Daphnia pulex: one gene and its partner. The protein of the gene in region 1 binds, or shares a complex with, the protein of each later gene. Links are inferred from orthologs where the notes say so. Each region holds a gene or a part of one and is shown in the gene's direction. Other genes may lie near its edges.

Region 1 (8,356 bases):
CGAATGAATGTTTTGGCGGTTCCTGAATTAGTTTTTTGTGTTCATCGTAAGCCATTTGACCTAGTTGCGGCCGGTCCAGCCAGTGCAGCACAATTTCTTGATCAGACGGACAAGTTTGCACAAACACATCAGAATTGTACGCAGCAAATAAATACGCCCAGATGTGAGTAAGGCTAATGGGTATAAAGAAATTCTTTAAAGCAGCACTAGCAACTCGTATATGTTGAAGTTTCGGCAGGAATTCGCAGTCTAGATGCGTTAAATTATTCCCGCATAAGAATATGCTTCCTCGTTGACCGAGAAAAGTGTTCAACACTTGAAGCTCATTTTCAAGATGTGTGGAGTCTTTTGAAATCTGCTTAATGTAAAAACAGAAGCGCGAGAACACATTTTTGATCGCAGAATCAGCTTTCGGGTTGTCGTACAGTAGACGGTTGTCCGGAAATTTGTTCTGTAAATCAAATTTATAAAATTCGTCTTTGAGTGTACCTAGTAAATTCCAACTAATACGATTACCTCCAAATAAGAAACGATATCATCGATGTTGTCAATCACTTGGTCTCCATCTTCAAGGGACGGAACACGGCGCAATCCGCGTTGATGAAAAATTTCTTTGGAAAAAAGTTATACATTTATTTTTAGTCCATAAAAGTTTATGCGAATTTATCCCAACTACGGATCGTGTACCTGGTGGTTTAGCTAAATTTACGGTGACGGATCTGAAGTGGAAGGGATGCTGTAGAGATTTCGTCAATACTACCATGAAGGCTCTCTGTAATAATTGTAATAAAATCTTGTTAACGTAATCCAGATCCCCATTTAACTAAGAAATCAACGAACCTGACAAAATGGACAGGCTCCGTAGCGCTTTCCGTCTGCTCCCGCCTTGACGTACAACACCTAGCAACAAAAAATGACGTCATCGGAAAATAAAAAATGAAGCAAACTGGTAAAAACAGAACCCTTACCATCATTTGTTGTGAACTTTGAACATCTAAACTCATTTTTTCCGCTGCGCTCAAAATTTCAGATTTATTTACAAGGGAAGTCACTCTTGTATTTACCAAGTACGCAGACGTAAAGCACCCGTAAGGAAATATGAAATAGTCTGGCAGCTGCTGTACAGCCGCGATGAGAAACTCACACTTCTAAAACCCGAATAAGCCAAAATTTAACCAACAGTCTCCAGCAGGTTTATTTTTGGCCGCCCTAAACATGCACACTAACTAAATGAACCGTTTTCTAATATCAGCAGTCAGCACAATGTCGAAGTAGAACCAATAAAGAAGCAAAGATACGGGTGTTGAAGCTTGCGACACTGTCTGAAATTCGCAGTGGTGAACACAAGAAGAATGCTCGGCACCAAAAACACGAGACTAAAGGCTCTATCTGCCCATATACTAGCAGCTAACCGACGCTCAACATGAAATAAGCCCGAGGGACCACAACAAATGCTGTTTCCCAGTTCTTTTTTTATCTAAAAACTTTCACTCACTTCTCTTCCTAACCATCCATCCCCCCTCTCTCTTTTGCCATCCGCAACCCGCAAGTCTTTTTTCGGCTTTCAAGTCGGAATTGTTTTTTCACATGCTGTCATTTGTGCTGGTTTGACTCGACCTTTTTCATGTTATTGTTTATTGTACTTTTTTTGCTTTCAACCCACAGCCGAAATATGTGAATAATTAGTTCATCCGTTGAGGGGGGGGGGATGGGGTGCGGAAGGCGGAATTGACTGGTAAAGTGCGAGATTGAGGTGCGGATTCTCCGCACTTTACTTATTCTCCCCATCCGGACACTTTTGTAAAAGTTTGAATTTTTTAAAGAATTAATTATAGTATTTCTGACCTGATCTAAAGCAACCAAACCTAACCAGCTCTGTTTTAACTATTATCGCACAATCAAAAGTGACAATGTTGCTAAACTTACTAAACACAGCTTACTACAACATTAAGTCACATTATAAAATGAAACTAAAGTTATTTGTACTGCTGAATAGTGAATACGATTAATTTTTATTTTTGCGCCCTAGTAGTTTTGAACTATTTGAAATGCATTCCCCATTCCCATTGTTTCTGTTTCCGCGCAACCATATTTTAGAAGCTCCGAATAAGTTGCGCGGACTGCTTACAGACTACAGTGAATCTCATTCTTCTATACAATATACCTTGGCTATGCTATCAGACGTTGTAGTAGGTTATTAAAGAAGATCTTTTGGTAAATACAGCTTACATTTTATCATTTTTTTCCGCAAATGTAAGAATAACTGTCTCATTTCTGGTTCAATAGTCATTTATGCGAAAATTGTGGTGCCGAATATGACGACTGACACTAAACCTACCAGTTTCAACCCCCTTGAACAGTTTGTACTGTTAGCAAAGTCGGCTAAAGGGGCTGCAGCTGTTGAATTAGTAAAGCAGGCTTTAGAAGCTCCTGGCGTTTATGTGTTTGGTGAACTACTCGACATGCCCAATATTACAGAGGTGAATTTTTTTTATGTTTAATCGATGAAATTTTCTCATTTATGCATATTTTTTTCTAGCTTCAAACTGATCAATTTCAACCTTACTACAATTTGCTGAAATTATTTGCCTTTGGAACATACAGACAATATCTTGAAAACAGTAGTTCATTGCCCGAGCTAACACCATTTCAGCAGCAGAAACTGAGACACTTAACAATTGTGACATTATCTGAAACCAACAAAGTGAGTATTGCTATCATTGTTGCATGCAGTCATCAATGGCATCTTAAGTTAAAGTTCACAGCTACTGTAGTTTGTTTTTATTAATTGTTGTTTCAATTTTAGTGCATTCCATATGAAGTGTTGGTCCAACAACTTGATATGAAGAATCTCAGAGAACTTGAAGATCTTGTCATTGAAGCCATCTATGGAGGTTTGCCACCAAAATTATTAATTAATACATCTTGATTTTATCATCAACAATTATTCTTTCAGACGTTATTCATGGGAAATTAGACCAGCGTAACGGTCGTTTGGAAGTTGATTTTGCAATTGGTCGAGATGCTCAAGTCAAAGACATTGGCCGAATCATTCAAACTTTGAACGATTGGTGTGAAGCATGTGATGCAATTCTCGGAGCCGTTGAAACCCAAGTCATGAATGCAAATTGTGAAAAGGAAAAGCATATCAAGCATCGTGTCGCTATCGAGGAGGAAGTTTTGAATATTAAAAAAACCTTGAAATCCCAAGTATATCTAGCACTACAATTATTTGAAATTCTTAAAACTAAATCTGAATGCTTGAAACTTGACAGATCCAGGAAAGCGATGATATATCTCTTACTGGTGAAACGCGCAATGAAATGTTAGGTGACAAAGGTAAGAAGCTTGCCAAGGGAAAAGGATTGAAGACCAATGTTCCAAATAAGTTTTGGAATAAATCCTGAAAATTTGTAATTACTCCTTAATGTTTGTATTCACTTATCCCTGAAAGCATTGGACTTGATTCACCCATGGTATTGTTGTCTCAAAGAGTGTTCGCAATGAAATAAATAAAGAAAATTTCTTTAACTGCACTTGCTGACGAGCATTGATATTCATCATCCGCCAAGGCCAATGTCTATTTCTAGGAACTCGGAACTTGGCGGTTTTTCTTGTTCAAATTTTAGGTAGCTGTACAAGCATTTTAAATGCAGTAAAGAGATTCAGTCATGAAACCAAATAACAGTTGTGTACATATCTTCACGCTATTTTCAAATGGAAAACAAAAAAGCTTGGATTGCGCAACAATTTCGTCACAGTATTTTCATTTGTTCCAGACGCTGACTTTGAGCTTTGAAGTACCGTTCTGCCATGTAGGTAACTTTCTCGATGTATGTAATCCCTTTTGTGATCTCTTCCCCTATTCTGATGACCAGCAGACTTTTCTCTTCTAACCCTGTGATGTCACATGCTTTTTGGCTTAGAGTAGCGCAATTCACGCACGCATCGTTGAACGCAATCAATTTAGATGCGCTACCTACTATTCGTACTACTGGATGAGTACGGTAGAGGGCTCTCTCAGTTTTTAGATTTGTATTGCCGCTGTAGTCCCGAAGCACACGAAGGGTGCGTCCGTTTTGTAATCATCGAGTCATTTGATCACGTGATCTGTACAACAACCAGTTACCAACGAGATTTTTATTTCAGTAAGTTATCAAATTATCGGAGTTTGGTGTTTTGCGGTGCTGCCAAGTTGTGGTTTCTTCGTAAGATGACGTCTTTTTCAAACACAGCACTTTTTCCCCCTTAACCATATCAACAGATGCATATGCAGAATCCTAAATGAAACCTTAATAAAAAAAAATAACAAATGCGCGATTCTCTAAAGCCACTAAAATCTGTTGTCTTAATTTCGGTTAATCTAATGTTAGAGTATTTCAAATACTATTGGCGAGGGCTCAAATTAGTTTAAATAGGTTTAAAAAGTGTTTTCGCGCATTTAATAATTGTTTGAATAATTTTTGGCATCATATGCAATATGTTACAATAAAAGGAACGAGTTTGGGAATGAAACAATGAGTTACATTCAGCTAAAAATTTCCGGCAGCTATACTAACTCGACCGGACGACCCGTCTAATACAACATCAAATTTGGTCAAAAAACAAAAGAGAAAAACTACTTCGATCCGACTCTCCGAGTGAGAATATAGACGCACCCCCGGGGTGGTAAGAATTATAAAATGGCAACGCGGGTCACGCAGGAAGAATGAAAGATTGCCTTTGACGGTTTGAGGGTGGTGGCGGGTGATTGCATTTCGACAGAACACACAGAGGGTCGTACCGCTTTATGGTCTTGCAGCCTGATTTGACGTGGATGTAACATTAGCACTTTGAAAATAGTCATAGCATTCAGAGAGCTGTGCAGACGCTCGTCTAACGCCATATCGAGTCTCTCCATATATATATTTGCAGTTGTGTGGCGCAACCTTAAAAGCGACTTTTTGTAATTCTTCGAGGCCAAATGGGTGTTACTTAGAAACGACTTTTGCCCTTTGCAGTCGACTTGCAAGTACGTCAGTCGTCGGCGACTCGAGTTCCTTTTATGGGAAGAATACACTGCAATAGCCATACATAGACTTGGGGGCCATACAAATGCTGGCTGCTGGCTTGCTCACTTTTTCCTAAAACGAAGGAAATGGCAACACACCGACCATATTTGCAGATTCTTCCATCAGTTCCATGTTATTTTTTCTTTTCCCATTTTCTGATTTAATCTTTGAGTTTAGATTTTCTCAGTTCAAGAGCTTGGCGAATAATGTGCGAGTTGCAGAATGATCAACTGTTATTATTTTTTCATTTAAACATATTTGGAACTTTGAATTTTCTAGAGATAAAATATTTATTTTTACAATTTTTTGGTACGAATTCAAAAATCCTTGGATCTGAAATCAAGCCTATGCATAGCATCCATATATAGAAATTCAAAATATCGATATTCAAATCAAGTTGAAAATTGCGCTTCCATTCTCCCTTGATTCCAACAATACTCGTTGCTTCCCAGTCCACCGTGTATTACCGCCGTCAAAACGGCAAAAGCGGCATTTCAATACCTTATTTGGCGTAAGACTGGGGCTGTTAAGGGCGGAGCTTGAGACTGAGCCCGCTAGAGGAACGACGCTTGCACTGCTACCAACGGAGAGCAGACCACTCTCGAGTTGCAATCTGAACGGTTTTATTGAAAGTTTCGGTGATTTTTTTTTATCTGACAAATTCAGGCGATTCTGAATTTGAAATACAAACTCATGTGGATTTTTGCTTCGAAATTTGTGGCCTAAGAAACTGTTGTTTTTTTCCCGAATTCCATACGGATTACGAAGCATGGCCCACTTGATCTACAGCTCAACTTTCGGATCAATAAAAACTGTTTTTCACTAGATTGGTTGTTGAACATCAGTTTCATTACTGTGATCTAATGCTCCAAAGATTCTAAGTGCTTGAATTCCCAACCAAGAGTTATTTTCCAAGTGCGAGTAGAAGAAACAGTGAAAACAAGTGTTGGGAGCCACCAAGCCTGTTTGTGCCAGTTAATTTTTTCTCACTTGGAGAATTGAAAAGTAAAACACAATAAAAACAAAATGGTGGGTGGAAGTGAAGTCCAAAGTGGATCCGTTGAAGATATGGCATTGGAAGAACTGCAAGCATTAATACCATCTTTAACCATAAGCTCGATGCCTGGATTGTTGACATTATGTCCATCTAGAGCTGAAGTGTTGGTAGCGAAAGAGCCACTCCATCAACTGTACACAGTGGAAAGTCATCCTTTTGCCAGGTAAACCATGTTGGCTGTTTGTAAACTTTGTGTTTTATTTTGATGTGTGAGAAGTTGAGACAAATAATGCTGCTGGGGATCCCAGTGAATTTTTGCATTTTTTAAAACTAAAGTTAGTGTGACATGCGACCTAAAATCCCGTATACAGTTGCTCGTTAGAGTTTTGATGCTGCTAGCTTCAGCAACTTTCACGCTGGCTAGTTTATGCAACGTACGTATTTTGAAACACTTGACTGGGAAAGTTGCGTGAACGTTGGTGGAAAGTGGCAAAGTGAATGGATCTTTGACCAATGAGATAGTGTGTTGTTTACATATTGCACAACTGCGTCCATGATAAAAATCTCACCCGTCAGGTTTGTTCCGCTTGTTTAATGCGCAACGGTCGAAAACTCGTACGTTACCAAAAAAATAAAAACAATACAAATTATTGTTGACACAAGTGTTGAAATCAATCTTTTGAAAACCCACATCCTTTGGCGATCAGTATCAGATAACCTTTCGTTCGTAATCCTCCATTTTTATTCGCAGTTCACTTTCGTGATAAGAACATAAATTGGGAAGATGTCAGAGAAATAATTAGGTAGCCTTTTAAAATCATTTTTTCTTACACTCGTTAGTATTTCAGGAAGACATAATGAAGCAAGCTATTGACTTTTTGTTAAACGTTAACGTAACATTTTATGACTCTGTTTTATTCAAGAACTTTGCTCGAGAGTGAAATCGATATTTCAGCCTTTTCGTGGCCCTGGTATGTCGGCCACGTCTCGTGTTTGCTGTGTAAAATATTTTTTAACGTCGCCTTAAAAATGTCTGTAGAGCGTCTTGTGTAAATTTCGAATAGTTTCCTTTTTTTCAAGTCAATTTGTTTTTTATTTGAAGCTATGAAAGACGGATGATGTCAACCAGCGGTCAGTCTTATTTCGTCGTGTTGGCGAAAATACAAGATTGTACACGAACCAACTTTTTACGGAGACATTTTTCTTTCTTAGTAGGCTAGGGGTGAATGGGAAAGTGTATTGGCTCATATGGTTAGTCGTCATAGAAGCAACTTTCTGTTACACTAGCTGCACTTAATTGTGGGAAGATAGCTTTTTTTTTACTCAACACCTTGTGCTTGCTTAAGAAATCAGTATTGTTATGAATAGAGTTTCATTAGATATTGTATTTCTTGGTCTGGTGAATTTTTATCAAATACGTTGAGCATGGGAAATTTGTTGTCTAGACTCCAGTATTGAACAGGGAATCTGTTATTTATATCTTGAGAATTAAGAAATAATGTTATAGATTTTGGCTGGTGTTTTTAAAAATAGAAAGTGGAATAGATTTCTGAAATTGCTGTGGAGCTTGACCGAAAATTATGATTCTCTTCTTATTATAACTGGAGAAACATGATTGAGTTGCCGTCTATACGCAGCTGTAAGGGTGTGACTAGAGATTCAGGAAAACTTTTATTTGGGTCAGACATCTTACAACAGCCCAAAGCTTCATATCTCGTTTGAGTCGTAATGCAACTCCTCTTCCAGTTTCTTGTCTGCAATTTCTTAAACAAAATGAAATCGATAAATGCATTGGAATGCAAGGGTGACTAACTAAAATTTTATTTCTAGTCCTTCCGTCATAGTTTTTCTAGTTGTTCAATTCGTTATGTTGTGGAACTGCCAACTCATCATGAATGTCTAGCAATTAGATTTATGTGGTGTTGATTTAAATGTAGATTTGTCCACGTAACATTTTAGTTTGAATCATCATTCCTTGAGTTGTTTTTTGTCTTTTTTTGGCTAGAGAAATGTTGAGAATGGGAATAAGAGTGGCTCGACCAAGTCAAACGTGTATCATCTGCGCATTTGAACGTTTTCAGTTTCCTAATATAGTCAAGTCTCGAGTGTATCTCGATTCCCCTCTACCTTTCCGTCTTCATTGCTGTGTCTAGTTTGGCCATGTAGTCTTGGCCAAGTGGAAAACACAGTGGACATTCCAATGTCCCTTTGGCGACACGATGAGCAGGATCTACCGATTTGGTAACCCGTCACCGATTCCCCATCGAAAAAACAAAGCTAGCGAGCCTTAATGCGTGAAGTGGAGCGG
Region 2 (5,701 bases), on another chromosome or scaffold:
TCTGAGAGACAGAGACACCTAGTGTATAACTGTTTTTCTTCTTTTTCCTTTTGTAATCAATCAGCGGTTAACTCAATTAAAAGTAGGTAAGTAGAACTAATGAATATTGTTCAAAATTAATGAGACTACATAAAAATAATTATCTGTTTGAAGTCGTTTAGTCAAGAATACAAGAATTGAAATCAATGGGTTCCAATGACTGATGAGTGATGGCTCTGGTGTTCTGTTCAGAACTAGAATAATGGAAGTAAAAATAGAACACATATCTTCAAAATATTCTTGCGTTTTCCATTATATTTTTACTCACTAAAATACATCATAAATATGATATGATAAGATTATTGACTATGGTTAATTTTGATCAATTTCTGATGGAAATTCTAGTTATTTTTGTAAAACTGGCAACATGCATCTCATTCAGCTTTTCTTCCTTGCCTATCTTCCACATTTCACTTCAGTACCGGTTTGACCCTTGGTAAGTTTCTCTTGCATTTTGTATCTAAATTCATCTCATGAAATCTCTGACATCTTGCCTATTTCCCATTATTTTCGCACTGTTTTGTTCATTGTACATTCTCTGGTCTATGTTATTCAGAAATTTCTTAAAACTTTTCTACTATAATACTTCGAAACATTTTCGACAGCATCGCGATGTGGACTCATAGCAAGTCTTTTTTTTTCATTTCTATAGTCCTTAAATCACCTTAGGAGTTCCTTGTAACCCACAATCAAGATGGGCAGGGAGGACAAGACATCATGGAAAGCTAGCTATTTCGTTAAACTAGTTGTAAGTTTCATTCTGTAGACTGTATTTTCATGTTCAAGTTGGCTTGTTTTGACTGTTTTCTTCTCTTTAGCAACTTCTGGATGAATATCCCAAGTGCTTCATTGTCGGAGCAGACAATGTCGGATCTAAGCAATTGCAGCAGATCCGTCGCTCATTGAGAGATCATGCCGTCGTTCTCATGGGCAAAAACACCATGATCCGCAAAGCCATTCGCGGACATCTGGAGAACAACCCAGCATTGGAGAAGTATTGACTTGTTTTTATTATTAGGGAATTAATTTTACAAATGTAATGATGAAAATTAGATATGATCTTTTGGTCAAACTTGGATCCAGAAATGGAAGAACCCTCCAAGTCAAGGGATTGGGGATTACAAATGCAAAGTTGCTGTCTGAATGAACTTTGCTTTTGACAATTACAGATTGTGTTGCTCTAGTTTTAATTGAAGTTTGATTTTGTTTTAGGCTTCTTCCTCACATCAGGGGAAATGTTGGCTTCGTCTTCACCAAGAACGATCTGGTGGACGTAAGGGACAGGTTGACTGAGAACCGAGTTCGAGCTCCCGCTCGTGCTGGTGCTTTGGCTCCTATGCCTGTTGACATCGAGCCCCAGAACACAGGTCTCGGACCTGAGAAGACTTCTTTCTTCCAGGCTTTGTCCATCCCAACCAAGATTTCCAAGGGTACAATTGAAATTATCGTAAGTGAATCACTAAATTCTCAACTAACAGATTGCGATGATGTTATTTTAAACTTTCGTTCTCCTGAATCGCCATAGAGTGGCGTGTTGAAATTTGTTTAACTGAGCTCTTTTTTACTAATGCTAGTTTATCTTAGGATTTCTGGAGATTAAATTTTATCTTTCTTTTATAGACGACCGTTAACGTCATCAAGGAGGGTGAGCGTGTTGATGCTTCAGCTGCAACCCTCTTGAATATGCTGAACATCTCTCCGTTTACCTACGGATTGGTGGTTCAACAAGTTTATGACTCTGGAACTGTATTCGAGCCGAAAATCTTGGATATCAAGCCTGAATCTCTTCGTACTCGATTCTTGGAGGTTAGTTGTGTTCTAAAATCTTACTTCACTGTTAAAATGATGAAAAACTTCGATTGACCCCGGAACAACCTTTAGACCCAGAAATGGGAGAACCCTCTAAAGGCCGGGGACAGTGATATAAAATGCCTTTACCGGCAGTCTGATTTAATTAAGACTCAATTATGAATAAGTTCGTAATAGAATAGTTGACTAATCGGTTACATGTTCATAGGGTGTTCGTAACGTGGCTAGCGTTTCTCTTCGCATTGGTTACCCAACTTTGGCCTCTGCCCCTCACTCGTTGATCAATGGATTCAAGAACTTGTTGGCTGTTGCTGCCGCAACCAACATCGAGTTCAAAGAAGCCATGACGGTTAAGGAGTTCTTGAAGGATCCCAGCAAGTTCGTTGCTGCCGCCGCTGCTGCTGCTCCTGCTGCTTCCGCCGCCCCGGCCGCCGCTGCTGCTGCTGCTCCCAAGAAGGAGGAAAAGAAAGAAGAATCCGAAGAAGAGGATGATGATATGGGTTTCGGTCTCTTCGACTAGACGCTCTTGTCAGATTTTGATCCAGTTCTGTTTACAGTTGATGAAATGTTATTACATGGTGAGCTTTGACTCATGTACCGCGGATACTTTTATGAACTGTAATAAACTGACGATTAACGGAATGATTCGTGCTTAACTTATTCTTTTGATATCCCAGTTTGTCTTGAACGATTCTTTCATTAATAAGGTTCAAGTTTCCTCTGCATTAATTGACATAATTTCTTGAAGCGGGTACGCGGCGTTTGGGTGGATGTAATAAATGAAAAGTAATTCGGACGCATACTCAATTGCACTTTGCATTAATTTATTCAAACCGCAAAATATAAGAATTTACAATATGTATTAAATATCTCATTCAATGTTATCATGAATTTTAACAACATCGGGCTCTTCTTCCAACTTACTATAGAGCTTAGAAACTAATGCTAAGTCTTCTTCGGATTCAATCTGAACTCTATTTCGTGGGATATAGAGCAAGTCAGATTCTATTATGCAATAGCCAAGCTGACTAACAGATCTCTTGACATTCAAAAAATCCCTTGGGCTGCATGTGAAGACAAACTTGCCATCTTCATCAGCTAGAAATTACCACAGAATTTCGGATAATTGCATAATGTATATATTTCACTTGAATGATACCTGTTACATCTTCCGCCCCGACGTTAATAGCATCGTCAAGTACTTGCTCAATAGTTTGGCCAATAGATAATGGTGACACCTTGATTAATCCTTGATGGTTAAACAGATTGTTTGAAACTCCTTCTGCCCATGATGCACTGACAAGAAAGGATTATTATTACTTATAAGTCAATTCATACACTACATTTACCAGTAATTTTAAACTTACTTGAATTTCCTGTTGATTGTATTGATGCCTTGTCTTGCTTTCAAATAACTAGGAGTGAGAACTTCTACCACGAAAAAGGTTCCCACTGGTCCTCTTACTTCCATAACATAAGGTTTTAAATCCTCAGTAGACTGATCAGCATTCTTTAGAATATGTTTCAACTTTTCAGAGGGCACATTATGATGCCTTGCTTGATCTACAAGATGACTAAGTTTTATATTTTGTTTTGGATCTGCCGAGCCATGTTCTGCAACAAAGAATTGTATGTTAATGCTAAACTTTGTTTCAACCAAAAATTAATACTCAGTATACAAACCTTTAATAGCTGCCTGATTGTTGTGATTGAAATTCAAGAAAATGTTATAGTTACACTAATAATGAGAACACAAATTCAAAATACCCTAATTTGACGAAAAATTCTTAGATGTAAAGTTGCTCTTTCAGCATCCTTTGCACCCTTCACATGTTTGATGTTGGCCCATTTACTATGCCCAGCCATGTTTCTTGAGAGCGGAATCAAAATACCCAAACGAATCTTTTGAAACATGATAAATTATTGTTAATATTTTTTGAATTATTATAAAAAGAAAACAAAATGCAGTTCCGGTAAATATCTTTTCGTCTGCTGTTTTAGTCTCGCTACAACGTCGACTGCTACGCTTTCAACTTCTTCTTTTCAAACGCAGATCACTTCCTGATATTCGATTTTCTTGAATAAAACAATGGAGACTGAAGAGAATAATCAGAATGTTAACCATGTAATGGCTTCATCGGGGGCGACAGGAAGTATATCAGTTTTATTGCATCCCTTGGTTGTGATGAATATATCTGAACATTGGACTCGAGTGAGAGCCCAGGAAGGGAAAGCACAGCAAGGTAATGTTTATGTGATGTACATTTTAACTCTTTATTTATTTTGTATACACAATTTCATAGTGATTGGTGCACTCATTGGAAAGCAGAAAGGAAGAAGCCTAGAAATCATGAATTCCTTTGAACTGGTTTTCACTGTTATTGAGAATGTGGTAATTGACCGAGATTACTACAACACAAAAGAGGAGCAATGTATGAAATTTCCCATTCTTTACTTATTAAATGTTCTTCATAATTTCTTTTTATCTTTAGTCAAGCAAGTGTTTAGTGATATGGATTTCCTTGGCTGGTATACCACTGGAGATGCTCCCAATGAATCTGACATTCATGTCCACAAACAAATATGTGAGATTAACGAAAGTCCTGTAATTTTGAAGCTTAATCCTTTTACACGAAATGCTGACCTCCCTGTAACAATGTATGAATCTGTAATTGATCTTGTCAATGGAGAGGCAACTATGCTCTTTGTTGAATTGACTTATACTTTGGCCACAGAAGAGGCAGAAAGAATTGGAGTTGATCATGTTGCTAGAATGGCTTCTGGTGATTCAGCTGAAAGTTCTCAAGGTAATTTTAATTCATTAACATTATCCTTATGAAACTGTCATGGACATACTTTTCTTTTTTAAACAGTGGCGGAACAATTGCAAGCCCAACACAACGCAGTAAAAATGCTTGCCAACCGAGTGCGATTGATATTAGAATACATTCGAGCCATGGAGAGAGGAGAGGTTCCAAAGTCTCACGAAGTCTTACGCGAAGCTAAATCTCTGACCCACAGGTTACCTGTCCTCAACTCTGAAATTTTCCAGGAGGAATATTACACCGTAATTATATCTTAACTCTTTGTTAATTGGGTTGATTTTTCTAATCTTGTTTTCTTTTGTCTTGTAGCAATACAATGATGTCTTGCTGCAAACCTATTTGGCATCCATTACCAAAGCATGTCACGACCTTCACCAGTTTGTCACCAAATTCAACATACTTTGCGACCGTCAAGGCATAATGGGTCGCCGAATGCGTGGTCTCTTTTTCTGAATTGTGAGCATTGTATAACATATTTAAGGAAACATGCTTTGTGCCCTACCTAATACATATTGGTTTTGATCAAGATTCCCATTTCAGCTACATTTCCATCCAAGGTGTGTATTGAAAATGTCAGCTTAATCATGGCAGTGTAATATCAAGTCCATATGGATTATTTTTCTTAAGTTTATTGGCCTCGTAATTTAAGGCGTCCTTTGTTAATACAGAGTGTTAGTATGAGATTAGCAGTCTGTTGGATTTGACAAATCCGGCAAATCCGATACACTGGAGATTAGCTTACATCGAAACTATGGGTCCTAGCCAAGATGTTGGTTATTTAAAGATTTACTCGACTTAACAATATCGTTCGTTGTTTGGCAGTTTTTTTGTAATTTTTAAAATTATTTAATGAATTCGTGATCCAATATAACTTAAATTAATTGTAGTTGAGCTCACAGAAAAAAGGAAATTTTGGCATCTAAAATTATTTGATTCAGATTCCAATCTTTTTTTCCAATTCATTTTGACAACACTGGAAAAATGTGTTATAATATTATGCCAAAATGTGTAGGTACAGATTTACAACG

The links. The genes of interacting proteins can lie anywhere in the genome.
Region 2: COP9 signalosome complex subunit 7b-like (region 1) and COP9 signalosome complex subunit 6-like share a complex: the UniProt entries of both Drosophila melanogaster proteins name them as parts of the CSN complex. The link is inferred for Daphnia pulex from reciprocal best matches to the Drosophila melanogaster genes CSN7 and CSN6.

The regions. Positions count from the first base shown.
Region 1 is NC_060017.1:4,234,770-4,243,125, forward strand, and holds COP9 signalosome complex subunit 7b-like, read left to right. Parts: upstream 1-1,927; 5' UTR 1,928-2,214; intron 2,215-2,286; 5' UTR 2,287-2,315; coding exon 2,316-2,480; intron 2,481-2,539; coding exon 2,540-2,704; intron 2,705-2,806; coding exon 2,807-2,894; intron 2,895-2,956; coding exon 2,957-3,210; intron 3,211-3,275; coding exon 3,276-3,407; 3' UTR 3,408-3,536; downstream 3,537-8,356. Other genes in the region: chloride intracellular channel exl-1-like, read right to left, coding at 1-451, 517-611, 688-772, 841-900, 969-1,004; serine/threonine-protein kinase 17B-like, read left to right, coding at 6,078-6,271. UniProt on the Drosophila melanogaster protein: Component of the COP9 signalosome complex (CSN), a complex involved in various cellular and developmental processes.
Region 2 is NC_060019.1:12,301,322-12,307,022, forward strand, and holds COP9 signalosome complex subunit 6-like, read left to right. Parts: upstream 1-3,849; 5' UTR 3,850-3,937; coding exon 3,938-4,091; intron 4,092-4,151; coding exon 4,152-4,280; intron 4,281-4,340; coding exon 4,341-4,655; intron 4,656-4,721; coding exon 4,722-4,915; intron 4,916-4,982; coding exon 4,983-5,126; 3' UTR 5,127-5,201; downstream 5,202-5,701. Other genes in the region: 60S acidic ribosomal protein P0-like, read left to right, coding at 734-787, 858-1,033, 1,252-1,486, 1,660-1,845, 2,057-2,368; probable transcriptional regulatory protein FMG_0893, read right to left, coding at 2,720-2,946, 3,008-3,144, 3,216-3,462, 3,532-3,544, 3,616-3,762. UniProt on the Drosophila melanogaster protein: Component of the COP9 signalosome complex (CSN), a complex involved in various cellular and developmental processes.